2 separate regions of the Mus musculus genome follow, and region 2 is reported to be linked to region 1. The links are microRNA targets in miRTarBase. Many come from high-throughput screens and were not tested one by one. Region 1 holds a microRNA gene; the other region holds the end of a gene's coding sequence. Distances are between the middles of the regions.
What was found. Region 1 holds the annotated microRNA mmu-miR-490-3p (CAACCUGGAGGACUCCAUGCUG, at 8,618-8,639, opposite strand). A microRNA usually pairs through its seed, bases 2 to 8, with sites in the 3' UTR of a target mRNA and lowers its output. Matches are read on the target gene's strand: a 7mer-m8 pairs with bases 2 to 8, a 7mer-A1 pairs with bases 2 to 7 and ends in A, and an 8mer does both.

Region 1 (11,642 bases):
CACAGCATTGCATGTCAACGAAATGTCGCAAAGCTGAGAAGCCCCAGCAGACATTCAGGTGTTCTCTCAAGAGATCTTGTTGATCCCATATCGTTGGAGGGAGATAGAGTTCAGCTGCATGTGCCCAGGGCATCTGCTGATAAGATGTATCTCCATAACAACCAAAGAAATGTGCTTTCAAGACTCCAAGAAACAGAGCTTGCTTTGGTGAGATCTCCAAAGCGCTTTTGCTTCAGAAAGTGCATTCCCTTGAATAACTTCTTCTGATATAAAGCTGGGATTCCACTATCCTCAATAACAAATGGGATAACTCACAATTTATTTTATTATCTTAAAATTTTTTCAATCAGAAAGATGCCAGCCACAAAGAGCATGTTCAAATACTTTATTATAAAATTTAATAGACTAATCTGCTTTATATTATAGACACCTTTAGGTAGATATTGAACACTCATTGAGCTAAATATTTGTCAGTAGATGAACATAAATACATGACTTGATGAATTTATTTTCTGAGTAGCAGATTTTGGGATTTCTCCATCATTTCTCATCTATGTAAGGAAGTAAATAACTCTATTGACACATCATCATTTATTGTGACATGTTATAAGTCTTACAGGAAACTATCAAGATTATCTCAGTGTACATCCCCCCAAGACAGGTGATATTATCACATCATTTCAAGAAGATGATTCTAAAACATAATTTAATTTTGTCAAGTAACAACATTGCATTTGTTTAAAGTTAAGTAGCAGCTTAAGAATTAGTGTTAATGATTAACTATGGGCTTCAGTTACTGTTTCATAATAAATTTCAATAGTGTAGCAAAAATATTACATCTAATAAGTTGTCCAAGAATCAGAAATTCTGGGCCCAAAGGTATTTCTACTGTCCATTCACTGGAGACAAAACGACCTTTCCATGCACAAATAGGAGAGTGATAGATCTGATAAGGCTGTAGTGCTATGAAAGAAATGGACTAAGAAAAAGGGTCAGAGTTTGCTCAGGACAGGGAGCAAATTTGTAGTCTCAAAATCTTATTTTGTTCTTCTATGAAACACATTCTTGGGTGTCATTGAAAATTAGTGAACAATGCTTGTACATTTCTTCTTATTAATGTGGATATATTAAATTACCAGCAACTGTGTGATAAAGCAGTCCCAAATTACATATTACATTACAGAAGAACTCATACACCAAAGGATACATTATATTACAACACAACCCCTACACCAGAGGCTCAGAAAATATCAGATAATAGAGGGTCAAAAGATTATAGGAGAAGAACAAGAAGTCTTCTGTGAGATTGCATTTCCTAGAAATGACAGGGAAGGTGTATATATGAAATCTCAACAACATGGCAGCCTAAACAAGATGTAAACAAGGACAACAATAGGAGATGTGTTAACATCGGAGGGGGAAATATCATGGTGGTCCCATCCCTAGACCAATTACTATAGATAACTAAGGAATGCTGGAAGTGGGTGAAATGGTTGGGGAAGAACTCTGAATTGATTGTCCTAGTTGTCTGCCCTGAAATAACACACACACACACACACAAATACATGGACTGAGCAGGTTATATCTAGATATTTAAGAATATATATGTAACAACAACTAAAGAAAAAGGATCCATGGATGTAAGAGAGAACAAAGATGAGAATACTACCTGGGGGTTGTTTGAAGGGATGAGTGGAAAGAAAAAAAATGATGCAACTATATTTGATTTGAAAAAATAAAATTAACTTAAAAATATGGATATTTCTAACTTATCAGGGGAGCCATTAAAATAATTCTAGCATTTGAATATCATTGTAAGAGAATCACTTGGGAAACTTCTCAAAGTTGATGGAATTACAGCAAAGAATCTAAAAAATACTCTAATAGGTACTCAGTATTTGTTGACTCAGCTATACTTTAAGAGCAGACAAAAGTCAACCTCTAAGAAGTTAAATTCCATTTGCATTTAAGCAAATGCAGCTTGCTTAAAGAAAAGCATAGCATCATTGAAGGAAAAGTTAGAAACTTTTAGTCTTAATTTTTAATTAGTGTTGAATTCTTAGTGTCAACTCATTCCTCTTCCTATAAAAAATATTCCCTCAAGATTATGTAGAAGTTAAGGCTCATGTTTTAATCACATTTATATTGCAAAGACAAAGTTGTACATTCTAAGATATTTCTGTAGTAAGATAAGAAATCACCCTTATCCAACTGTTTTTTTATAACTTTGTATTTTGGAAGGTATTGTTCACAGGGAAAACTATGTTAATATAGGTACAATATGTTTAAAAGTATGGAAAATCTTTGTAGTTCACCTCTTGACCATTTGTGGAGTCTCATCTAGTCAGAGTCCACAGACCTTTTCAAAAATACATTAATAAGACTATATTGTATTTAAAAAATCTAAAGAATAACTAATAAGCATAAATGATATATGATAAAAAAAAGTTATATCAATGGCTTTGAAAGAGGGATAATGTACTAAACAGAGGTGTTTTGATACCATTAAGTTATACAACTAACGGCCAAGTATTTTTACAACCAAATACAATTATTCCACTCACTTATTTCTTCCTGTAAACCTGTGTGTATGGGAAGATATTGCCTGTGGATGAGTGTAAATCAGAGTTCATTCAGCACGAAGCTGAAGAACATGACTGTGAGTCAGCCCCCAAGGGAAATGGTTGTACAACTTTAAACAAATTACTTACTACATTTTCCAATCCTATCCCATCACGTATGGATCAAGAATAATGACATCATAGTTATAAAATGATAAACCTATAAAATACATAGACAACTTCTAAATGTGCAGCAAGTGACATATTTTATATTTATGGAATGTATGTATGTAAACATGTATGGGTATGTATAGTTTGTGGATTTTAGTATATGTATAAGATGTTATCAGTTATGAAAATAGCACATTATTACATCACATAAATTAGATATATTTATCAATGGCTATGATATATTAAGGAATGGGATAGCAACTTTTATCCAGAGCATTAATGAAATCCAGTTCTTAGTTGAGGTAAAACAATTTACAATGTGTAACTTAAGATCACTCCATTGCAAGACATTGCTTTTTCTTTCTTCTCATACATAAAGGCTATTGGAATGTAAATGACTAGAAACAGATACAGGTTTCCCCAGAAGTGACAGAAACCACACAAAATCTGTTCTACTGTGCAGGAACAGAATTAGAATATTGTGAAAACTAGATTATGGAGTCATGAGTAAAATCAAAACACACCATTTTGAATGAAAATCGAGTGGCTTTTTGGATGACTTAATTTGGAAACAAATTCTATTTCTCTCTGTCTCTCTCTCTGTCTCTCTGTCTCTGTCTCTGTCTCTGTCTCTCTCTGTCTCTGTCTCTGTCTCTGTCTCTGTCTCTCTCTCTCTCTCTCACACACACACACACACACACACACACACATACACCCTAGTTTTGACTAGCCCACCGAGCCTAAGAATGCTACAATCAGGAACAGTAAATACTCATCATCAATGATACATTAATGCACAGAGATGAGAAACACTAAGGAATCCAGATCTGAGCATGTCGCTGAGGGGTGAGGGCAATGATGTCTGAGCGGTATGTGAAGAATTGAAAGTATCTGCACACTTCCAATTATGTTTCCTTTCATGTCCTACCTTAGTAAATGTGGGAGGCTTTATTCTGAGAATTTCGAAATGAAAAGAGTCTCACATCTTAAAATGGTGACAGGTGTACTAAACGAGACAATAAAGCACTGGATGCTTTCATATCAGGACCTTAAAGTTCTGAAGGGTGATTGAAAATCCCATTAAAGAAATCATCTCATTACAGCAATAATTACATGGATTCTATTCGAACTCTCACATGAAAAGGAAGCAGCGAGGTCAGGTACACAATGGGATGTTGCTATTTTACTATGCAAATCAAAATAATAGGTAATTAATAACGGCTTAGTACTTAGAAAAAAGTCACTACGTGTAAGGCACTGGATAGTACTTTAGATATTATAGTGAAATAATTATAGGGACATATTTGTGCTTTGTTCAAATCGCTTAAATAGCCTGTCCTCTTTTCCTCCTACTTAGACACCTTTGCTAGTCCTATCTGCAAGCAATCCATCAACTTGGCTAAAAAGCACTCGACATGACTTAGCTATTGTTAAATATCCTTTGTGTGTGTGGAGATATTTGTGTACATACAAAAGACATCAAAGAGCTGTTTCTCCTTTCTCGCCTTCCAGATGTGAGTGACTCCCTTCGCCATGGTACCCTACTCTGATAAGTTCATACATCTATGTATTCTAGGCATAGTCCTTCTCCTAAGTGGCTTGTTTGGAAGTTAGCAAGACTCAGCTCATGTGTCTCCCAAAAGGCAGGTGACTTAAAGTACCATCATACATTTTTACTTTTAGATTTGAGTAAAAGAGTAAATGCAAATAATTTACATATGTAAGAATAACTGGATGCTTATTACGCTTTACGTCTACAATGTTGTTTCACTACGTTCCTGCTAGTAACCTGATGGGAACTCACAGGGTACTTGGTAAAGCCTTTCCTACATTGCCAAGGATGTCAGACAAATGATTCTGAAGAAGAGATGATGAAGCACCATGGAAGGAAAGAACAGAGAGTCAGAAGATGGAGGAGTGCAGTCCTGGGCCAAGAGTGCAGAGGTCTGTATCCCTTTTCATAGGTCCTGACAATGCTTTTAAAGTCAGGAGAAATGAAAGTTCTGGAAGAGGCAAAGTGGATCACTTTCAGTTTTATGCTAAAAATTATTCTTTCCTAGATATAAGAATACAGAGCTTGGGTGAAATGCAGAAACAAAAACACTTCATGAATACGCTAGAGTACCTCGAACTGGTTCTTCTCGGTGCCCCCAGCATCAGCTCAAGTGAAAAGCTAAGGATATTTTAGAAGAGCACCTGTGGGGTAAGTGATGGCTTCTTATGTTCTCTTGGGGTGAACCATGTCAGTCAAGGCACTAAGGCTTCTGAATCCGGATCCATCTGCTACCCAAAAAAATATTTATAGGCATGATGGTAGAGACCGAACTCAAGATTGTTATAGTCACCTGACATATTATATGAAGGACAGCTAAAGACAAAAAATGGGCATTGGCTCAGGAAATAACAAGTTCAATAAAACTAAGTATTAAAACCACTTACCAGAAGTTGAGTCACAATGAAAGAACTTAGAAATGGGTTTTTTCCTAGAAAGACTTGTAATCACAGTAGTGAGGCAAGGAGTGATAAGTCGTGTTGCCCTACAACGCAACTAATGGAAAATACACTAATCAAAGCAAGTGTTTACACACATGAATGAATGAATGAATGAATGAATGAAGTGTTAATCAGTAAAAATTTGACAAAATTACCATATTATATTAGCAAAGGTCTGAAACTATGTGTAAGAGAAATAAAAACTAAATAAAAACCTCATCAATGCACATTTTCATAACTGTCAAAAAATAAAATGAGGCAATAGAGATCTTTGTTGTAAAATTAGGAACCGAGCTTTTAAATGGTAAATGTCCTCCACTGATTTGAGAGAGGCAGAAGACACTGAGGAAGAAATAGATCACAAGACAAGTTCAAAATGGAAGTATAAAATAAAGTGAGAAATACACAAAAACTCAGGGAGGAAGAGAATGCCCAGAAAACAAAAAATTAAAAATAGGGGAAAGAAATACAATCAAAACATATCGTTCCCAAAAATTTAAAAGTATTTTTACACATTAATCAGAGTTGCTGAAAGGGGAGGCATAACAGGCAATAAGATGACTGTTGGGTAAACTGATGTTACGGGGATGTGGACTAGATGAGATTGAGAACAGAATTAATAATTAACTATGGGCAAATTCAAAATATATTTTAAAAGATAGAATTTGATTATATTTGGCCAAAATACAATAGGTGTTAGAAATGAGACTACAACTAGAAATCAGGAGGCTTTCATGAGGCAAACAGAAAGAGAAATGAATAATATAATGATTTAGGAATGAGATTAAAACATGGATGTTTGCCTGCCTTTACACTTGTTTATCTATATGCAAGCTACTCTGTATCATTCTACAAAGAAATCAATTTTCAGTGGTCTATGTCCTGAAAACTTGGGAAGTTTCCAATAGAAAGACATTTTAAAGGTACATTCTCCGAAAAAAAATGCAAAAAATTAAAAATATATAATTGACATGAGAAAAAAATTTAAAAGAATGAAGTAATAGAATCCAAGAACTTCAGATTTTAAAGTTCAAATACTTTTCCGAAACAAAAGCCCTCTTATAATTTACAAAAGCAGTTTTTCTTGTGTTGAACGTTTGACTTTGTTGTCATACTATATAACTACACGTATATTATCGCATTAACTTCACAAATAACTGTAAGGTAAATATTTCACTATAAATTGCAGGTGAAGAATTGTAGTGAGGTAGTCTCCTGACTATCATCTGTTTAACTGCAAACAAGTAGTTTAATTAGCTACTCTGCGTTTTAAATAAGACCAGAGACTATAAAAAATAAATCATAGCTCTAATGTTCTAAATACCATGAAATAAAGATTAAAAACAAAGAAAAACAGAAGGAGAGGATAGTCAGGAGAAGGAAGGACAAAAGGAAGGTAAGGAGAGGGGGGTGGTTACCAACTGATGAAATTAAATTAAGAAATAAATATCTTTAGGCACTTATAAAAATAAAGGCAAAAGTAATGCATTTTTATGATTTTATATCATATAAAAACTTATCAGTATTTGATGAACAAAACAAAATGAGGGGTGAAAAGTAGACAATTCAGGAAATAATTTGTATAATCATGGGTATAATTATCTGATAAAATTGTGTTTTTATTACATGGATAATCAACACAAAATCTATAGTCTTCCAAAATATCTATAAAATATTAATATTAAAATTGTTTAAGAAGATACTACTAAAAAGATTTAAATTTTTTTCTTTTCATGTGCATAGATATGCTTATGTAGACACACGTGTACAGGGATGCGAGCCTATGGGTGTGGGTGTGCAAGCCAGAGGATGATATCACTAATCCTCCTTGATATTTCTTTAACCTCATTCTTTGAGGCTGGGTCTCTCAAACCAATTGCTTGCTGACAGGACAGGTCTCACCTGCCAGTTTTCTCTGGGGAATCTCTGTGTCTGCCTTCTCAGACTGAAATCCAGGGGACTCACTACATTTACCTGGCTCTTATGTGGGTCCTGGGGCCCCAAACTCAGGTTCTCATGTTTGGGTAGCAAGTGCTTTAATGACTAAGTGATCTTCCCAGCCAAACAGTAAAAAATTCCTAGGCAATAGTTGCTCCTTGTTTATGAAAACATTCAGAGGTAGAGCCATTGGAGCATTAGTGCAGTGCTCATTTGCAGTGTGTATAAACTCTCTAATGCTACTAAGAGGGAGGCAGTGATTAATTTCATATACTCAGTGAGACTTTTACAGAAGTATGGGCTAATATTACTCAAAATTTAATATAAAAACCTTTAACTTAGTTTGTACATGAAGCTTTAGCAAAATATCAGCAAGTAGAATTCAACAATTTATTAAAAGTAACATCACAACAATTGTTGCTACCGTATTTTATCAATATGATACCAACATAACAGTCCCAACAGAAAACCACAGACATGATATATCTGAATGCGGTAAGACTAAAACATTTCATAAAAATCAGTTGCTTAAGATCATATAGGACACCTACCTTAAAGAAAACCCCAATGCAACGCACTGTTGAGAGAAAGGTGCGAATCTCATGAAACTGCATCAGGATAACTGTTTTAATCTAACTGAATATTACAGTATTTCCCACTCATTCATAGTTTCATTTTCAAAACTTCCAAGCTTTGCAGATAACCATCTTCTGAAAATATTAAATGAAAAATTCCAGAAATAATTTCCAATTTTTAAGTAAGGATTTTTCTTAAATGTGGTCTGCCACTATGCTATACTTATTCTATTTTATTATTAGTTTTTGTTGTGGATCAATTATTTGTAGACTGAACTTTGCCATTAATATTCATAAATAGGAAAGCAGTGTTTAATATTATCTGGGGTTTTAGGAATCATTGAATTGTCTTAGACTGTGTTTGACACAAAGAAGAGGGAACTACTGTATTATAAAGCATCCAGGAAAAACATTCTAAAATATATTGAAATACAAAATTGATATGTATTCATTATGAAACAAAATCCATTTTTCATTAGTAGAAAATAGCTTGCTGCTACATTATCTTCTGATATTTAATAACTTTAAGTTTTAGAAAATAGCTTCTTTAGGTATCAGACTCACCATTACTAGAATTCATTTGAGACATAATTGAAATTCCCAATTGAGATTGTAATTATACTTTTCTCAGTTTTGACTGGCTTTTGAAAAGATCACCATTTTACACTTGTGTCCTAAAAGACTATCTTGTGACAGTAGGTTAACCAATTCCACAAAATAATACGTGGTTTTGATGCAGAAATGTGAGCTTTGCCTCCATTTCTGAAAATGAATAGCAGGGTTCCCTGGTGTTGGAGATTGCATAACACTACAAAAGACTCCTCCAGTTTACTTCCTGGGAGATGGAGTTAGAAGTTCCGCTGCTTGTGAACAGCTCAACAGCATGGAGTCCTCCAGGTTGGTGTATATCTAAACGTGACCCACCTGGAGATCCATGGTGTCGAACAATGAACTTTCCAAATCAGCCAGGCTTCCATAAAGTGTGGAGCGTTCCTCTTCACCAGCGATGCTCGAAGAACCCGCATCCCGCACCTATCGATCCCCGAGCCGTTCTCATCATTGCCTCTTTTATCATCACCCTCCATTTCTAGAATGTTGTCTAAGTTTCTGACTATCCCAAAATAATAAACCCGGGCATGTACACTTTTGCTTTAACAAAGTAGAGTAATCAAGGGAACCAGTAAACATTTGCAAGTAGTGTCAGCCATATCCTAAGAACCTGGAGAGTATACATTTTATTCCGTATAGCTGCTATACAACAAATGCATCAAACCGCTTACGAGACGTTCCAAGTTGCAGTGAAACTCCATATTTCAGTGCTGAGTCCTCTGACTGTTGTTGTCTATACCTGAGCAATTGAGCATGGGTATCTTTACGTTCAAGTGAAAAGCTGTCCTAGACTTGTGGCCTCACCGTCTTGCAATAACCTTATTGAATTGTGGCCTGTCCTCATTCCAGGTTGTCCTAAACGGCACCCCAAATAAGCAACACGACTCTTGTGTTTTCAACTAGTGCTACTGGGCTACACATTTGGTGGGTCTTTGGTGTCTTCTACTGTCTTCCTCAATCACATCTGTTTACTACACACAGAAGGGTACAGTGGCATCTTCTGTGCCCTGCATTAGTAGTTTCTCCAAATACAGCCAGAGTCCCTAGGCTAGACCAAGGCTTGGGTGTGGGGGAGGAGGTAGCAGTGGGAGGGGGGGGAGCACCTGTTTTGAGTAGAGAAGGTTATGTTTATTATCCATATACCTTCTGGCCTGATATTTAAATGCATAAAATTATAGATGAATATCAGTTTTTCAACTAAGAACTAAGACAAACATAAAATGTACATATTCTTTAAAAACATTACAAATTAAATTTTCACTGGTGCCAAACTCACTTTTTAAGTCCAAACTCTTCTGAAACTTACATCAAATTTTAATTCTGACAATGCTTCTGATGATTTTAATAATTGGCAACTGAATGAGTAGACAGACAGACAGACAGATGAGTAGAATACAGGTAGCAAATGCTGGGTGTAGATTAAAAAGTTTTAAAGAATGATATACATATTATAGTATGAATATAAAGTGCTAAATGTTTGTTTTCTATTTGAGCTGAGACTAGGTTTCAATGGGATAGGAGACACACACACACACACACACACACAGAGAGAGAGAGAGAGAGAGAGAGAGAGAGAGAGAGAGAGAGAGAGGGAGGGAGGGAGGGAGGGAGGGAGGGAGGGAGGGAGAGAGAGAGAGAGAGAGAGAGAGAGAGAGAGAGAGAGAACACCAATGATCCAAGAAAGGGAGGCTGAAGAGACAAAGAACTCTTTATTTGTGGAATGGTTAGAACCATCCACACTTCTCTGTATGATTGCATAATGGATTAGGACACTCCTATCTCTGGGTATGTGGACTTAAGTTACATATTGATTCGCTAGAAATTAACACTAGCTGCATCTCAGCAAGTAATTTTGTCTCCAAGACCATATTTCTTCAAGTATTAAGTGGAAAGATGAAAACGGTTTTCCGTGTGGCACATAGAGTGCACAGTGTATACAAGTTCTTTGTAAACATGTGAAGCTGCATGGAGTAATAATTATTAGTAAACTAAATTTAATGAATGAAGCTAAGTAAAAGCTAGAGAGTTGGATTCTTTTAACAATGGAAAAGTACTTGTGTGTTGCTAAAGATAGCAAGTAAAAGATAAAGGAAATATGACAGCAGGGACCGGGTGACAGGGCAGGCGAGATCTGAAGGCCATTGATCCCTGTATCACACTGTCACAGCCTATTTGAGCAGCTGCTGGTCTGTTTGATTCACAGTAGGACAGACCACACATGCTAAGTGCTAAATGCCTGAGTGCATCTTGCACAAAGTCACTATTTATTTGTCTTTTGAATTGTATTTAGTGGGTCTGTGTTCAAATCATTTTGGAAGGCAAAGTCACAGTGACAATGGAAACCTGTCCTTGAGAGTCTGTGATCCTGAAGTGCTTCAGTGCACTTACATCTGAACACAGGTGCAAACCCACGATATCATCTCTGTTGTAAGAACCCAGAGGACAAGAGAAGCTATTGTTAAATTTATTCAAATCCTTGTGAGTTCAAAAAAGATGAGACAGGGTCTCCTTATCTGGTCTTGACTACGCATGCAAAATTGCAATTTTTTTTCTGCCTTAGTACTGAGGTAACAGATATGTGGCATGATTTTCAGCTATGTCTAGATCTTCAAAGAGGGATTCTCAGTTTCTCTCTTTCCAAGGGCACTGAGTTATTGAGTCACACTTTACACCGTAAAAGGCAATCCGCTAGTTTGTGAAAGAAACAATTAAAAACACTGTTCTTATAAATTTTGTTCTTGTATTTGAAAGTTACATTGTTATACATAAATCAGGAATATTGTATCTGTTTATATAACTTGTGAATTGTTATCCACCCACTAATTAAAGTACAACGTGTTGTAATGAGCAATAGTTTGCTCCCCTGGCATGCATGAGGCCCAGGGGTTAACTCCCAGGGTAACAAAACAAAAGAAAAAAATACAAAATAAAATATTGCTGTGCTGAGATGGTCTGCAGCTGACAATTTCTACAGACCTTTGAGCCAATATCATTCAGGTCCTCCATGGGTTCCTAGTGACACCATATGGTAGTTGCTACTGCTCAGAGTTCAATCTGTTTTATACAATCTAGGAGGGACAGTGTCCCCACCCCTAATAAAAAACTAGATATGTTGGAGGAATTTATCACCCTGGGAGCAGATTCTTTCAAATAATAATTATTTCTTCACTTGGTAAGATAATTATGAAGCTAGCATCTTTTAAACCATGTATTAGAATTTCTCCTAGGTTTAAACTCTGTCACCCTCTTAGGTACCCAGCTTTTATACAAACCCCCTTTCCAGCTGCCTTCCTTT
Region 2 (17,337 bases), 86 Mb from region 1:
CTCAGTGGAAAAGAGCACTTCCTAAATTCAATTCCCAACAAGGTATGGTGACTCACAACCATCTATAATAGGATCTGATGACCTCTTCTGATGCATAGGTGTACATGCAGACAGAGTACTCATATACAAAAATAAATCTTTTTTTTTTTTTTTAAATCTGCGTCAAAGGTTTGTGACTTCCTACTTCAAAACTTGGGTAATGTGCCCTCCATTTCTGGATTGTGGTTCATTCCAGATGTAATCAAGCTGGCAACCAGGAATAGCCATCACATCATGCAACAAAGCACAATGTTTGAGAGTCAGGACCTTGGGCAGTTCTCCGGCCCTTTAAATAAAAGTATACATTGTTCCCACACTGAAACATACAGGGATTACTTTAAGATCAATCATCACAAGAGAAGAAAGGCTTCCGGAGTTTAGCCTTCTGGTGCTTAGCAGAGAGGTGGACCTTCTTATAAGTGGTTGCTGGGAAACTGTGCTGATTATAGACATGCAGCAGAAGAAATCTAATATCCTCATAAATCCAGAAGCAGGAGCCTTCGGAAGAACAGAGTCACACTAACATCTATAAAGAGGTGATGTTTGCCCAAGGGACTTAAACATTAACCATCTTTGCTGCTAATTGCATTTTTATCTTAATATCTGAATCAGAACTGTTTTCATTATGAGTGACTTATTTCCTCACAGTGAAAAGATTTACCACTGGACTCAGCTGTGTGTGGATAATGAGTGCTTTTTGTCTCGTTAGTGATTATTCTTGTCTTGTCTTTTCTTTTCTATGTGTGTGTGCGTGTGTGTGTGTGTGTGTGTGTGTGTGTGTGTGTGTGTGTATTTTATGTATCACAAGTTGGCCTCAAATTAGATATGCAGCAAAGAATACCTTTGAACCTTTGATTTTTCTGTTTCTATATCCCAAATGGCCTTACAGGTTACAGGACCAGTATTTTATATATCATATGTGTGTATGCATATGTATATTATATATATGATATATATATAATGTTTATATGTATATATATATATAACATATATATACACACATATGTATTTTACACATATACATATATGTATACATACATACATACACACATACATACATGCTGGCATGCAGGCAAAATACTCATACACAGAAAATAAAAATGATTTTTTTATTTAAGGACTGATTTTTTTTTCCTTCTCCATTTTTTATTAGGTATTTAGCTCATTTACATTTCCAATGCTATACCAAAAGTCCCCCATACCCACCCACCCCCCTTCCCCTACCCACCCACTCCCCCTTTTTGGCCCTGGCGTTCCCCTGTACTGGGGCATATAAAGTTTGCAAGTCCAATGGGCCTCTCTTTCCAGTGATGGCCGACTAGGCCATCTTTTGATACATATGCAGCTAGAGTCAAGAGCTCCGGGGTACTGGTTAGTTCATAATGTTGATCCACCTATAGGGTTGCAGATCCCTTTAGCTCCTTGGGTACTTTCTCTAGCTCCTCCATTGGGAGCCCTGTGATCCATCCATTAGCTGATTGTGAGCATACACTTCTGTGTTTGCTAGGCCCCGGCATAGTCTCACAAGAGACAGCTACATCTGGGTCCTTTCGATAAAATCTTGCTAGTGTATGCAATGGTGTCAGCGTTTGGATGCTGATTATGGGGTGGATCCTTGGATATGGCAGTCTCTACATGGACCATCCTTTCATCTCAGCTCCAAACTTTGTCTCTGTAACTCCTTCCAAGGGTGTTTTGTTCCCACTTCTAAGGAGGGGCATAGTGTCCACACTTCAGTTTTCATTTTTCTTGAGTTTCATGTGTTTAGGAAATTGTATCTTATATCTTGGGTATCCTAGGTTTTGGGCTAATATCCACTTATCAGTGAGTACATATTGTGTGAGTTCCTTTGTGAGTGTGTTACCTCACTGAGGATGATGCCCTCCAGGTCCATCCATTTGGCTAGGAATTTCATAAATTCATTCTTTTTAATAGCTGAGTAGTACTCCATTGTGTAGATGTACCACATTTTCTGTATCCATTCCTCTGTTGAGGGGCATCTGAGTTCTTTCCAGCTTCTGGCTATTATAAATAAGGCTGCTATGAACATAGTGGAGCATGTGTCCTTCTTACCAGTTGGGGCATCTTCTGGATATATGCCCAGGAGAGGTATTGCTGGATCCTCCGGTAGTAATATGTCCAATTTTCTGAGGAACCGCCAGACTGATTTCCAGAGTGGTTGTACAAGCCTGCAATCCCACCAACAATGGAGGAGTGTTCCTCTTTCTCCACATCCACGCCAGCATCTGCTGTCACCTGAATTTTTGATCTTAGCCATTCTGACTGGTGTGAGGTGGAATCTCAGGGTTGTTTTGATTTGCATTTCCCTGATGATTAAGGATGTTGAACATTTTTTCAGGTGCTTCTCTGCCATTCGGTATTCCTCAGGTGAGAATTCTTTGTTCAGTTCTGAGCCCCATTTTTTAATGGGGTTATTTGATTTTCTGAAGTCCACCTTCTTGAGTTCTTTATATATGTTGGATATTAGTCCCCTATCTGATTTAGGATAGGTAAAGATCCTTTCCCAATCTGTTGGTGGTCTTTTTGTCTTAATGACGGTGTCTTTTGCCTTGCAGAAACTTTGGAGTTTCATTAGGTCCCATTTGTCAATTCTCGATCTTACAGCACAAGCCATTGCTGTTCTGTTCAGGAATTTTTCCCCTGTGCCCATATCTTCAAGGCTTTTCCCCACTTTCTCCTCTATAAGTTTCAGTGTCTCTGGTTTTATGTGAAGTTCCTTGATCCACTTAGATTTGACCTTAGTACAAAGAGATAAGTATGGATCGATTCGCATTCTTCTACATGATAACAACCAGTTGTGCCAGCACCAATTGTTGAAAATGCTGTCTTTCTGGGCTGGTGAGATGGCTCAGTGGGTAAGAGCACCCGACTGCTCTTCCGAAGGTCCGAAGTTCAAATCCCAGCAACCACATGGTGGCTCACAACCATCCGTAACGAGATCTGACGCCCTCTTCTGGAGTGTCTGAAGACAGCTACAGTGTACTTACTTATAATAAATAAATAAATCTAAAAAAAATGTTGTTTAAAAAAAAAAAAAAAAAAAAAAAGAAAGACCAAAAAAAAAAAAAAAAAGAAAATGCTGTCTTTCTTCCACTGGATGGTTTTAGCTCCCTTGTCGAAGATCAAGTGACCATAGGTGTGTGGGTTCATTTCTGGGTCTTCAATTCTATTCCATTGGTCTACTTGTCTGTCTCTATACCAGTACCATGCAGTTTTTATCACAATTGCTCTTTAGTAAAGCTTTAGGTCAGACATGGTGATTCCACCAGAGGTTCTTTTATCCTTGAGAAGAGTTTTTGCTATCCTAGGTTTTTTGTTATTCCAGATGAATTTGCAAATTGCTCCTTCTAATCGTTGAAGAATTGATTTGGAATTTTGATGGGGATTGCATTGAATCTGTAGATTGCTTTTGGCAAGATAGCCATTTTTACAATGTTGATCCTGCCAATCTATGAGCATGGGAGATCTTTCCATCTTCTGAGATCTTCTTTAATTTCTTTCTTCAGAGATTTTATCATACAGATCTTTCACTTCCTTAGTTAGAGTCACGCTGATTTTTTTTAAAGATTTATTTATTATTATATGTAAGTACACTGTAGCTGGCTTCAGACACACCAGAAGAGGGCGTCAGATCTCATTACAGATGGTTGTAAGCCACCATGTGGTTGCTGGGATTTGAACTCAGGACCTTTGGAGGAGCAGTCAGTGCTCTTACCCTCTGAGCCATCTCGCCAGCCCCTGATTCTTTTATTTTTGAGACAGGGTTTCTCTGTATAGCTCTGCCTGTCCTGGGACTCATTTTGTAAACCAGGCTGGCCTCGAACTCAGAACCTGCCTCTACCTCCTGAGTGCTGGGATTAAAGGCGTGCGCCACCACGCCCAGCTGTGATTCTTTTTCTGTTAAGCTTTTCATCCCTTTCTCCTCTTTGAGCTCTATCTGAGTCTTGAGAAGACCCTTTAGTTCACCAAGTATGTCTTCCTAGCCCACCCTTGTCACTGATTGCCACCTGAAACCACATGTAGTTGAGGAATTTGTGGGTATCTCTCCTCCTCTTATCAGCCATGAAGTTAAACTGGAAGACAATTTAGAGACTGGTGAGTCCAATGCCACAGGGGACCGGTAGGGGGAGCTGCTATCCTCCAGTAAGTTTAAGATTCCTTCTGTGGCTCTGCCCAAAGCCAGACAGTCTAGTCTGGTTTAGGATCCAGATTTCAGGATTGGAGGTATAGTTTCAGGGGCGAGAGAGCATATGTGGGGCCCTGGGTTCCAGACCCAATTGTGCAATAGGAACTTAAGTTAATTTCACCTTTAAAACTGTTCATGTAAGCCAAGGACAGTGGCTAACACCTGTAGTCTTGGCTACTGGAAGGACTGAGCCAGAAGGCTCCCTTGAGCTCAGACATAAAGGACCAACCAAGGGAATATAATGAGGCCCCATTACTTTTCTCTTTGAAGTACATCGGCATTTAATGATAATATCTTGTTGTTGTTTATTTTGTTTTAAGACAAGGTCTCACTATGGAGGCCTGTATGGCCTGAGATTCTCCTGCCTCAGGTTCCTATAAGTGCTGGGTTTAAAAGCATGTGTCACCACATGCCCAGAAATAAATTTTTGTTTGTTTGTTTGGTTGGTTGGTTGGTTTGGTTTGGTTTGGTTTTCAAGACAGGGTTTCTCTGTGTAACCCTGGCTGTCCTGGAACTCACTTTGTAGAACAGGCTGGCCTCAAGCCTATGTCTATCTCCCAAGTACTGGGATTAAAGGCATGAGCCAACACCACCCAACATCTAAGATATTTTAACATAAGCATAAAGCCTGTGGGTTAAGGGACAGATTTGCTCAGGAGAGAGTGATGCCCACGCCCACTGAGAATGAGTGTGGGCTTACAAAGACCCCAGGTCAACCAGGTTTCATAGTGTAAGCCTCTAATCTTAGCACTCAGGAAGCAGAGGCAGGAAGATCTCTGTGAGTTCGAGGGCAGCCTGGTCTACAGAGTCCAAGAGGATTCTTGTAGAGGGGTCCAAGTTCAGTTCTCAGCACCCAAGTCCATTGGCTCACAAACACTTACAAATCCAGCTCCAGAGATCTGATGTTGCCTCTATACAGATGGCATTCACATATACACACACAGTAATGATAATAATAATGATGATGTAAATATTTTTTAAAAAGCAAGACAGTATCTAAAGTCCAAGAATTTAATCATTCATTATTTTGTTCCCATGAAAATGTGCACCAGGCCCAGCCTAAGCTCAGCCAGTTTTGTGGGGAGTTTGTTTACTTTAATTAAATTAATTTATTTAGGCAAATCCTAAAAAAAAAAAAAAAAAGAGAGAGAGAAAAACTAAACGTTAGACTCAATCATACTTCTCTTAATCTATCCATGGTTGATTTAACAGACACTTTAGGTGGCCTTGGAATAGGCCTTTAATCCCAGCACTAGACAGGCAGAGGCTGGCATATCTCTGTGAGTTTAAGGCCAGCCTAGTCTACACAATGAGGTCCAGGAGAGACAAAAGCAACGAAAATAACAAGGAGAAAAGAGGAAATCCAGGTAGCTAATCAGGACATTGATTAATGATGGTTGCTGTATTTGAGGAGTTTCTGTTAGTGATTACATTTTTTTGTAAAGATTTATTTATTATTATATGTAAGTACACTGTAACTGTCTTCAGACACCCCAGAAGAGGGCATCAGATCTCATTACGGATGGTTGTGAGCCACCATGTAGTTGCTGGAATTTGAACTCAGGACCTTCAGAAGAGCAGTTAGTGCTCTTATCTGCTGAGCCATCTCTCCAGCCTGTGATTGCATTTATTTACTTTGGGAAGTCAGGGAGAGGTGTATGCTATGGCCTGTGTGCAGAGGTCAGAGGGCAGGTCTGTGGAGTGTTTCCTCTCTGTCCATCTTGTGGACCCAAGAGATTGGATGCAAGCCAACAAGCTAGGCTTGTGGCAAGCCCTTCTACCCACTGAGGCATCTTGTGGGCCCAGTCTTGGGTTTTATTGTTGTTGTTTTTGAGGCAGTATCTCACCATGCAGCCTTGGTTAGCCTGAAATTCACTATACAGAGCAGGTAGGCCTTGAACTCACTGGCATTTGCTTACCTGCTTCTGTCTCCTTAGCGCTGGGACTACTGGGACTACAGATGCTGCTACGATGCCTGTCCAAAGATTAAGGTCTTTCTTTCTTTCTTTCTTTCTTTCTTTCTTTCTTTCTTTCTTTCTTTCTTTCTTTCTTCCTTCCTTTTCTGTTTTTCTCAGCTTAAAGCAACAAAAGCTATAAAATATTACACAAAATTAAAAGAGACAATCAGGAGATGGCTCAGTGGTTAAGAGCACTGACTGCTTTTCCTAAGGTCCTGAGTTCAATTCCCAGAAACCACATGGGGGCTCACAACCACCTGTAATGAGATCTGAAGACAGCTACAGTGTACTTACATATAATAAATAAATAAAATCTTTAATAAATAAATAAATTGTGAAAGAGAGAGAGAGAGAATCACTCTTTTACTCTGTTACTATCTCCCCCTAAGCCCCAGCTACCCTTTTTAGTGATACAGCTGGAGATGGTTTATTAGGAAAATAAAAATATTTAGTGAGCTTCAAAGACACTCCAAAGCCTGTGTTTACCACCATTTTTTTGTAGGTAGTTTTTCCTGTAATTTATGTTATTTAGCAATTAACTGTATGTGTGTGTGTGTGTGTGTGTGTGTGTGTGTGTGTGTGTGTGTGTGTGTGTGTGTTAGTTGTTTGAGTATCGGTTACATGTAGATGTGTACAGGTGCCTAAGCAAGCCAGAGAGGCACAGCAACCCCTGGACCCAGAGTTACAAGGGGTGTGAAGCCAACTGCCCTGGCTGCAGGGGACTGAGCGCAATTCCTCTGGAAGAGCAGAGGGTGCTTTTAACTGCTGAGCCATTCCTCCAGCCCCTAAATTATTTATTTTTTTTAAAGATTTATTTATTTATTATATGTAAGTACACTGTAGCTGTCTTCAGACACTCCAGAAGAGGGCGTCAGATCTTGTTACAGATGGTTGTGAGCCACCATGTGGTTGCTGGGATTTGAACTCAGGACCTTCGGAAGAACAGTTGGGTGCTCTTACCCACTGAGCCATCTCACCAGCCCCAAATTATTTATTTTTAATTTACGATAATAAGTCACCTTCAGAGCTTGACACAGTCATGAAAAAGAAAAAAAGAAAGAAAGAAAGAAAGAAAGAAAGAAAGAAAGAAAGAAAGAAAGAAAGAAAGAAAGAAAGAAAGAGGAAAGGTGTGAATCCAACTGAAGGATTCATCCCTCCCTCCCCCATAGACTGGCTGAGCATCAAGTTAACCTGATAAGAGAGAAACTGAAATGAAAACTCATCCACAAGCCAGCCTGTCTTTCCCCACTTTTCTTTCCTTAGAAACTCTTGCTTTCTCTGTCTCTCATCCCAAAAGAAGGGTGTTACTCCAGTTTATGTCTGAGTATACAAAGTTAAATCTACCTTGATTTTCTGTTTTTTGTTTTTGTTTTTGTTTTGTTTTGTTTTGTTTTGTTTTGTTTTTCTGAGAAAGGATTTCTCTGTATAGCCCTGGCTGTCCTGGAACTCACTTTGTAGACCAGGCTGGCCTCGAACTCAGAAATCTGCTTGCCTCTGCCTCCCAAGTGCTGGCTGGGATTAAAGGCGTGCGTTACCACGCCGGGCGATTTTCTGGTTTTTATTGTCCTTTTCTTTTTGAACCCAAGGGAGCAAATGTCAATCCCAAAGTTGGGAGAAGGAAGACCACTAACGCAAACCATCGTGGCCAAATTAATCCAACCAAGCTTGTTTTACTCATGTGCATGGGCTGGCCAGTTCCTGCTGTTCCTCTAAGTAAAACCTGCTTTAATCAGGCAGTCTTGGAATTGGTTTCTTCCTCAGGTCTAACACGGAGCACCCTGGATCAAATTTGCCTGGGTCTTCGGAATTGGACAGTGCAAACTACAAGCTCAGAAGCACAGACCTTCTCTGCCATTGAATTCCAAGGGCTGGCTTCTCTGGGTAAAGGAAAAGGTTAATTCTGTTGTGAATAAACCCAGTCGGCAGAAAACCTGGTGACAGTGGAGAGAAAACAGGTCCTGGTGGGGAACTACAAAGAGAAAGCGGACAGTTGCCAGACAGAGGAGGGAGAGGAGCCCGAGCAGGGGAAAAAGGAGGATTTGTTAAATAAAGAAGTCAGCTGGGGTCCTGCAACAGCTTGGGACTCAGATGTCAGTTGACTAAGGCATTTGAATAGGTCCCTTGGTGGGAGCCTGAAGCAAAAAGCCTCTGAAAGCTGCAGCTGGGGAGGCCTCTTGAACTAGCCCCACTCCTGGGTGATTGGTGGAATCTCTTCCACCCTAAAAAGGGTAAAATCAAAGCTCGGATTCTCACACCAAGGACTGAGTGTTGTTCAGTAGTAGAGCACTTACCCAGGGTCTAAGAGTCCCTGGATTTGATCCCCAAGACCACACATTTTAGAATCTTATCAACGAAACCTCTAAGAGTTGAAGCAAAGTGGTCTCTCAGTAACGGTCGTCAGGGTTTGTGGAGGTGATGATGTCCCATCTCTGACACAGCAGCCATCCCCACTGATGCCAAAGGACAGAAAGCAGAAGAGGAGAATTCTAGGTGGAATTAGTCTGGGCTTTGCAAGGGAATGTGTCCTAGCCTCTGTGGCACAATGAGGGACAATTTTTCTCACTGCCAAAACAGCCCTCTCCTTAGCTGAGGAGCAGCTACAGAACCTACTTGGGCTGGGCTGGGTACCCCTGTGAGTGGTCAGGAGTTAAAGATGTGATTGACAGGTATGGCTATTTACGCACGGCAGTTACTAGGTGTCGCTTGCTTCTTCTGTGTTTTTCCGTATCATGCTTTAGCTAAATCTACTGTATACAACTACTATAACATCTATAATTAATGCATCAGGAGTTACGTTAACTTAATCTCCTTAAGTGTACACACAACTACACCAGATGTATACGTATCTTCTGTCTTTTCAGCAAATTTAAATCGTCTCCAAAACCCCAAACTCACTTCTGAACCCACACAGCCTCTCAAGTCTCCTGTGATAACACTTGACATCTTCCCCCACCCCCACGTAGGTTAGGGGGTTATGCTCAGGGAAGATAGCCTCCATCTGGAGCCAGGAAGTCCCAGATTAATCTCCAGTGTGACACAAAAACAAGAGACTGTGGTCCCTCCTCTTTCCCAGAAGCACTAGGTGTGTGACCTCAGGGGCTCTCTCCACAAGTTCTATTATTTCACAGGAATAAAAACCACTCTCCCAGTTAAATATTTGTTCTTCCAGAGAACTAGAGCTTATTTCCCTGCAGCCTGCCACATCAGGTGATCAGGTGGCTTCACGTAACTTCATCTCCAGGGGATCATCGAATGCTTCTGGCCTCCTCAGGGCCCATACCCACACTAAAACATTCATTTCTTATTCATTGCTCTCCAGTTCTTGACTGGATGCATTGTGAGTGGCTGGCCTCCTGCTCTGGTTACCAGGCCATTCCAACTGTTGTGGTATAACCCTCCCAACCGGTTAAGCCAAAAGAAACCCATTTTCCTGGACCCTCGGTTAAGACCCTCCCCTTCACATACCAAAATAAAAAGTATATTGACCCCACTGGACAAAAGATAAGACCACTAAAGGTAAAATTAGTGTTTTATTTTGTTTAAACTAGTCCAGCTGGCATCGGTTCATCATGGTACAGTCAAATATAAACATCTTTCTACAGATATTAACATAGCAGTTACTCTTGGGGGACTCCAAGGACAAGCAAGCACCTTAATAGGTGAAAGCTTTTATTTTGTTGAGACTTTAGTTTTATTATTTTATCGAGATGCTGTCTTACTATTTAAACATAGTACAGGTTGGCCTTGAACTTATTGCATATCTGAGCTACCCTCAAACTCCTGGTCCTTCTGTCTCATCCTCGAGAGTAGCCACCATATCGTTATACTTTGTATATACTTTTAAACCTCACCCCTCAAAATGACACAGTGTATACCAAGACCCACGCTTCTAAGAAAAAAGACTAGCATGGGTGGGTGGGCGTGGGTAAGGGTGTTCAAGCACTTATTCTTGGGAAGGAGAGAGTATATGCACCTCACTGTCTCCAAAGCCTAGAGTTAACACTAAAAAAAGGACAAATTCAGAACTAAGACAAATACACTAACACACCAAGTTGTAAATAGAGCTCAGAAGTTGAGTTGGTGCCCAGCATGTTCTAAGTCCTAGGTTTGCTCTGGCACCAATAAAAATAGAAATAGAAATAAACAATATATATGCCAGGTGTGGTGGTATGCCACCTTTGGTCCCAGCATTCAGGAGGCAAAGATAAGTGGGCAGATCTCTGAGTTCAAGGCCAGGCTGGTCTGCAGAGCTAGTTCAAAGACAATTAGAGCTATGCAGAGAAACCCTGTCTTGATAAACAAAAAGCAAATAATAATTAAAAAAATAAACCAGGGGCTGGTGAGATGGCTCAGTGGATAAGAGCACCCGACTGCTCTTCCGAAGGTCAGGAGTTCAAATCCCAGCAACCACATGGTGGCTCACAACCATACGTAACAAGATCTGACGCCCTCTTCTGGAGTGTCTGAAGACAGCTACAGTGTACTTACATATAATGAATAAATAAATCTTTAAAAAAAATATGAAAATATTTGGAAGAAGGAAGGAACCTGGCTTTGCCCTGACTTTAAGCCCAGATGTTGCGTAAGTCTCATATTTCACCTGGTGGAGTCACAGAGTAGTTCAGGAATAATTCCAAGGCTTGTGGGGTGCTAAAATGCGCATGGCTTTCCCTAGTGGCTTCCAAATTCACCTCCAAATCACTGGCAGAGAAGTTTTGCTGCAACTGTACGTAAGGCTGCAGAAAGTCCTCCCCGAAGTTATGGAGCGGAGCAGCATTCCAAGGCTGGCCGTTCCAGGACTGAGCGGTCCAGGCCTGGCTGCTCCAAGTTGGGTTGGTCCAGGTCTGGTTGTTCCAAGTTGGGTTGGTCCAGGTCTGGCTGCTCCAAGTTGGGTTGGTCCAAGTCTGGCTGCCCCACATGGAAAGGCTTCCAGATGCGTTCACCAGATAGCCCTGGGGATAGCTGCAATGGATGCTGGGATACTCCACTGGTGCTGAGCCCTTCTGAAAGAGGTGATTAATGCAATGAGTGAAAAGGGGACTCTAAAGATGTAAACTGCAGAAATACTGAAAAGATTAGCATGGCCGCACAGGCCGTTAACCCCAGCACTCCTGAGACTAGGCAGGCAGATCTCTGACTGCCAGGGCTACATAGAGAGAGCCTGCCTCAAAGAACCAAAGATCACAAGAAAGAGTGCGTGGAGGAAGAGGGATGGGAAAGGGACAGGACTAATGGACATAGATGGATCAGGATGACACTGGGAAGCAAAGGCAGAGCCACTGACTGCTCTTACAGGAAATCTGGGATCCATACCCAACAGCCATAGGTCAGCCACACACACACACACACACACACACACGGCACAGACACATAAAATAAGATGGTAAGATGGAGGGGGAAAAAGGAAAGCAGAGAAAACATCTTGTTACCTGAATCAGACCATTGCTAGTCTTCAACCACTGGTTTTTCTGCCACCGCTTGCACTTCATCCTTTGGTTTTGAAACCAGGTCTTAACCTGCAGAGTGACAGGACATTCGAACAAGCTAAGACATACAGAATGCAGACAGGTCTACAGCCCGACCTTAAACATGACAGCCAGGCCTGTAAAGTGAAACTCTTTCTTGAAAAAGACAGGTGCTGGGGGAAATGGCTCTTCTGTTAAGAGCACTGGCTGCTCTTCCAGAGGACCTGGGTTCAATTCTCAGCGGCCACATGGCAGCTCACGACTGTCTGTAACTCTAGTCCAGGAGATCTGATACTCTCACAAAGACAAACACATGCAGGCAAAACACCAATGAACTAAAGGAATTTAAAAATAAACAATCTTAAAAAAGAAAAGAAAGGAAAAAAGCCAGGCACACCTTTATTTCCAGCACCCAGGAGACAGAGGCAGGTGAACCTCTCCCAGCCTGGTCTACAGAGACCAGTCAGGGCTACAGTGAGACCCTGATTTGGGGATGGGTGTGGGAGGTGAAGTAGAAGATAAAGTAACCAATGAAACAAACTGGGAAATATATAAATCACATAATTGGGGCTGGAGAGATGGCTCAGCGGTTAAGAGCACTGACTGCTCTTCCGAAGGTCCTGAGTTCAAATCCCAGCAACCACATGGTGGCTCACAACCATCCGTAATGAGATCTGATGCCCTCTTCTGGTGTATCTGAAGACAGCTATAGTGTACTTATACATAATCAATCAATCAATCAATCACATAATTATGATTTTAACAGGCGCATAGGATAGGAGGATAGGATAGTTAGAGAGACGTCCAGACGTTAGTTCGATTCATTAGCAAGTCAGTCTCATTGTGTTACATTACAGCAACTTCTAAGGACCCCACCTGCTTATAGCTCAGGTTCAGAATGGAGGAGAGTTCTTGCATCTGCTGGAGGCTGAGGTACTTCTGCTTCTGAAACCTGTCCTTGAGTGCACACAGCTGGGCCTGAGAGAACACAGTCCGCATCTTCTGCTTCCTGGCAAGGACCTTGTTCTCCTCCTCCTCAGGGCCCTTGTCAGCCTCAGGACTTGAGAGCTTTTGTTTGGGACTGGTAGAAGAATCAGGGCTGCCTTGAAGAGGCAGGTCTTCAGAGGAAGGGCGAGGAGAGGCTGTTAGAAATAAATAGATAACTTGTTAATAAATAAGACATTCTCAGCCTGGCATGGTGGTACATACCTTTAGTCCCAGCACTTGGGACACTCAAGCAGGCAGATTATGGGTTTAAGTCCAGTCAGTTCACGGGGTGGGGTGGGGGTTATGGCTCAGCGGTTAAGAGCACTGACTGCTCTTCCGAAGGTCCTGAGTTCAAATCCCAGCAACCACATGGTGGCTCACAACCATCCGTAATGAGATCTGATGCCCTCTTCTGGTGTGTCTGAAGACAGCTACAGTGTACTTACATATAATAAATAAATTTTAAAAAGGCCAGTCAGTTTTACAAAGTAAATTCCAGGATGGCCAGGGCTACACAGAGAAACCCTGACCAAAAAAACAAAAACAAAACCAACCAAACAAATAAATCATTTTCCCAGATAATTAAATGTTACATTTAATATATTTACTTACTTTCTTTCTTTCTTTCTTTCTTTCTTTCTTTCTTTCTTTCTTTCTTTTTTTTTTTTTTTTTTCTTTTTTTTTGGTTTTTTCGAGACAGGGTTTCTCTGTATAGCCCTGGCTGTCCTGGAGCTCACTTTGTAGACCAGGCTGGCCTCGAACTCAGAAATGCGCCTGCCTCTGCCTCCCAAGTGCTGGGATTAAACGCCCGGCTATATTTACTTTCAAAGCAATTATCTTCATAGATCTAAGTAACAAGAAAAACCTAATTTTTGGAAAGTATTCTTGGAATACTTTGTCACCCCTGGGTAACACCATTTTGCATAGATCTCCCTTTTATAGTGTTTTTTTTTTTTTTTTTTTTTTTTTTAAGAATGTTTCTACTTAGGGGGCTGGAGAGATGGCTCAGCGGTTAAGGTTAAGAGTGCAGACTGCTCTTCCGAAGGTCCTGAGTTCAATTCCCAGCAACCACATGGGATTAATTAATTAAAAAAAAAAAAGAATGTCTCTGCTAAATATTTATTTATTATTATATGTAAGTACACTGTAGCTGTCTTCAGACACACCAGAAGAGGGCATCAGATCTCATTACGGATGGTTGTGAGCCACCATGTGGTTGCTGGGATTTGAACTCAGGACTTTGGGAAGGGCAGTCAGTGCTTTTACCTGTTGAGCCATCTCACCAGCCCTACATACAGTGTTTTTAAGTTTCATTAGTTATTTAAATTATACAATTAGACCCTGGGAATCCTATTTAAAAAAAAAAAAAGACAACTAACCAAACAATACTCAGTTCAATGGCAGGATGAAGACAGGTTTGAGTTTGTAGTCTGCTCTTTCCAATCCCTTCTCCCTGCTCCCTCTTCATTAGAACCGTGACCGCATCTACACTGTAAACCTCTGATCCTGACAGTGGGTAGCACAAATCTAAAGCCCCCCTGCTCCAGTAGCTGAGATGGGAGAATTTGAGATCAGCCCGTCTCAACAAATAGAGACAGACAGACAAGACAGCACAAGAGCTTAGGCAGCAGAGGATCTAGTCTATGTTTGTGGTTTTCTTTTCTTTCTAAGGGATAGGGTCTCAGGTAGCCAAGGCTGGCCTGCTCTCTGGGTCCTACCTCTCTACCTTCTGAGTGGAGGTTTATCCAAAGACTCAGGTTTGGGGGGACTTTTATCTCGCCTAGATTTTTGCATGGTGCTGGGTGAATAGAATCCTGTTGGGACCTTTCATACTCTACTACCACTGAGTCAGCTATATCTATACATACATACATATATACATACATACATACATACATACATACACACACACACACACACACACACATTAACATTTAGGGATGAACTAATATTTATGAACAAAAAATGTCATGACGAAATCCATTATACTGAATGTTATCTAAGGAAATTTCCAGGGTTAAATCACTTGTTGTTAGGAATGCACAGTCCTGAGTTTAGACACCCCCCACCCCCAATTTTTTTTTAAAGGTATATTTTAAAATGATCCCACTGGGGCTGGTGAGATGGCTCAGTGGGTAAGAGCATCCAACGGCTCAGTGGGTAAGAGCACCCAACTGCTCTTCCGAAGGTCTGGAGTTCAAATCCCAGCAACCATATGGTGGCTCACAACCATCTGTAACAAGATCTGACGCCCTCTTCTGGAGTGTCTGAAGACAACTACAGTGTACTTACATATAATAAATAAATCTTTAAAAAAATAAATAAATAAAAATATCCCACCATCTTTTCTGCTAGTACAAGAGCAGCCAGTCAGAGGGTCCAGTTAATTATTAATTACTAGAGTAAAATTTCGGTTAACCAAATTCGTTTCTCTTATCCTTGACCCTCTAGCTCTTCGGTTAGCTTTTTTGTTTTTTTCCAGGGCCTTCAGCAAGAGACAAGTGCTCCTCCACCAAGCTTTGCCCCAACATTTCCTAGATCCAGCAGCAGGTAGAAGACACCTCCTACACTGAAGACATCTGTGCTCCACGCTGATGGCAATGCTGAGGTTAGCCTGCAGTCTAGCAAATAAGTAGACAGCCCTGAAAGCAGCTTCTAAATGGAAAATTATGCCATCTGCTGGCACTAGGGGCACGCACTACAAACACACATGCTCTACACACATGCTCTAAAAACACACATCACTTACAAAGGCTATCCCCACCCGTTCATTCCTAACCCAGCACTTTTCCCACCTCCAAAATCAAAAATTGAGGGAGGCAGAGGCAGAGGCAGGCGGATTTCTGAGTTTGAGGCCAGCCTGGTCTACAAAGTGAGTTCCAGGACAGCCAGGGCTACACAGAGAAACCCTGTCTCGAAAAAACAAAAAAAAACAAACAAAAAAAAAATCAAAAATTGAACCCATAAATCAGAAAAATCAAGATGACAGACATTAACTTAAAAGCTCAGAAAAAAGGGGACACACACTTCCTAGCGCTCCACACACCCAAGCACCGCTGCACACACCCGAGCATCACTGCACACACCCGAGCATCGCTGCACACACCCGAGCATCACAACACGCACCTGAGCACCGTGGCACACACAGCCTAGCAGCCTCTTGGTTCTACCATTTACAAGCCTGAGTACTGGGCTGACTCTGTACAGACAATGAGCTTCAGACCTTGGCTCCAGATGCTAGCTATAAGAATGAATGACTTAAACTGTGTACACTTGTTTGGGGTTTGGAAGGAGCACTGAGCTCACAAACCCAGAACTGCTAAGTGACATCCATATTCCCAAAGGTTGAGAGAAATGCTAACTGCTTCTGCTGGAGAAAACGGCCATTTGGGCAAATTGCAAACTAACTGTATAACCTCACCAAAAAAATGGGGTGCTCATTCCAAGCTAGGATGTTAGGTCTCCCTGCTACTGAAGACACCACTCACTGCCCCCGAACATATTCCAAAGAGCCCAAATATTTAGGTTCTCAAATACACACAAGAGCCTTATATTGCTCCGTCCTGTGTCCCGGATCTCTATTTCAGACTAGAAGGCCAACGTATCACCGGTCAAACTCAGAGGGGTTTCCAGAAGAGTGATAAGGACACCCGCTTATGTTAATGACTACTACGGTTCATAAAGAAGCAATAACCCTTCAGCCCGTTTTTTCTACTCTTACCCTAATTTACTGGGTTCTTCGGGGACTGAATTCCTTACCAGCCTCTGTGCAGAGCATCTCAGTAGCAGACCCTTGTAAGCAAGAATAGTTCTCGGGATGAAAAACTGCAGGCATTGATGAGGCGTTCCCAGAATTCGATGCTTCCTCAGAACTAGGCAAACTGTGGGGACCAGGAAGACCCACACTCATGTCAGTGTGATGGCGAGGGAAGGGATTTCTGAAAAGGTTTTAGGCAACAACCAAAAAACTCAGTGTCTAGAAGGAAAGATCATAGAAAGAAGAGTTAAATGTCTAATGCAAAATTATCAAGAAGTCAGAAGGAAGTGAGCCGCAGCCTTCCCACAGAAAGAGCAAGACACCAACCAAATCAGCCTATCTGAAGGCCAACGGCTCAAGGCGATAGATTTAAAGGGTAGGTCCTGCTCCTCCCCCCTCAAGCCTCCTACCCTACCCACCCCCTATTCTCCCAGGCACCCAGGCGGCACCCACGCCCCACCAGCCCTGTGAATTCACAGTTAATCCCACCTGCAGGGTCCACCATGGACATTGTAATGCAAAAGAAGCTGTAAGGTGACCCAGACTGGGAGGGAGGGAAAGCTTAGGGGGCATCCTCTGATCTAAAGACATCCCCCCCCCCCAAAAAGAGGCTTTACCTCATTTCACTTTATTCATCTTTTAACCACGGCTGCACCTCCAGACCCTGGCGATCTCTAGTGGGAAGTTTCAGGTCAAGTGGGGGATCTGAGTTTCCTCTTCCATTCTTTCTACAGACATGAAAGAGTCAGACCTTGCTGCCAAAGTCTCTGTTTATACACGGCTTTCCTTTCAGCACTCAGCGTTTCTTGCTTGCTCTTCACATTGGGAAACCTGGGGAAATCTTCCCTCCAAAAGTGCGGCTTTTTAACGCAAGTCTGAAGAAAGAGCCTGTGTCCTGCTTAAGACTCGGGCTACCTTAGTAAG

Region 2: the mRNA of Nanog is a reported target of mmu-miR-490-3p. Seed matches in the 3' UTR shown: 7mer-m8 at 10,750-10,756.

The regions. Positions count from the first base shown.
Region 1 is chr6:36,418,797-36,430,438 of GRCm38, reverse strand. It overlaps Mir490 (microRNA 490), which reads right to left and starts at 8,697; the gene lies at 8,614-8,697. The region is part of intron 2 of Chrm2 (cholinergic receptor, muscarinic 2, cardiac); the gene reads right to left.
Region 2 is chr6:122,707,012-122,724,348 of GRCm38, reverse strand. It overlaps Nanog (Nanog homeobox), which reads right to left and starts at 16,784. Exons shown (of 4, transcript NM_028016.3): 1 at 16,416-16,784; 2 at 12,546-12,811; 3 at 11,634-11,720; 4 at 9,716-11,207. The coding sequence starts at 16,566. The coding sequence ends at 10,794. RefSeq lists promoters at 16,644-16,834, 16,750-16,976, 16,639-17,044, 16,707-17,088, 16,570-17,337, cis regulatory regions at 16,893-16,900, 16,986-16,991 and an enhancer at 16,911-16,948.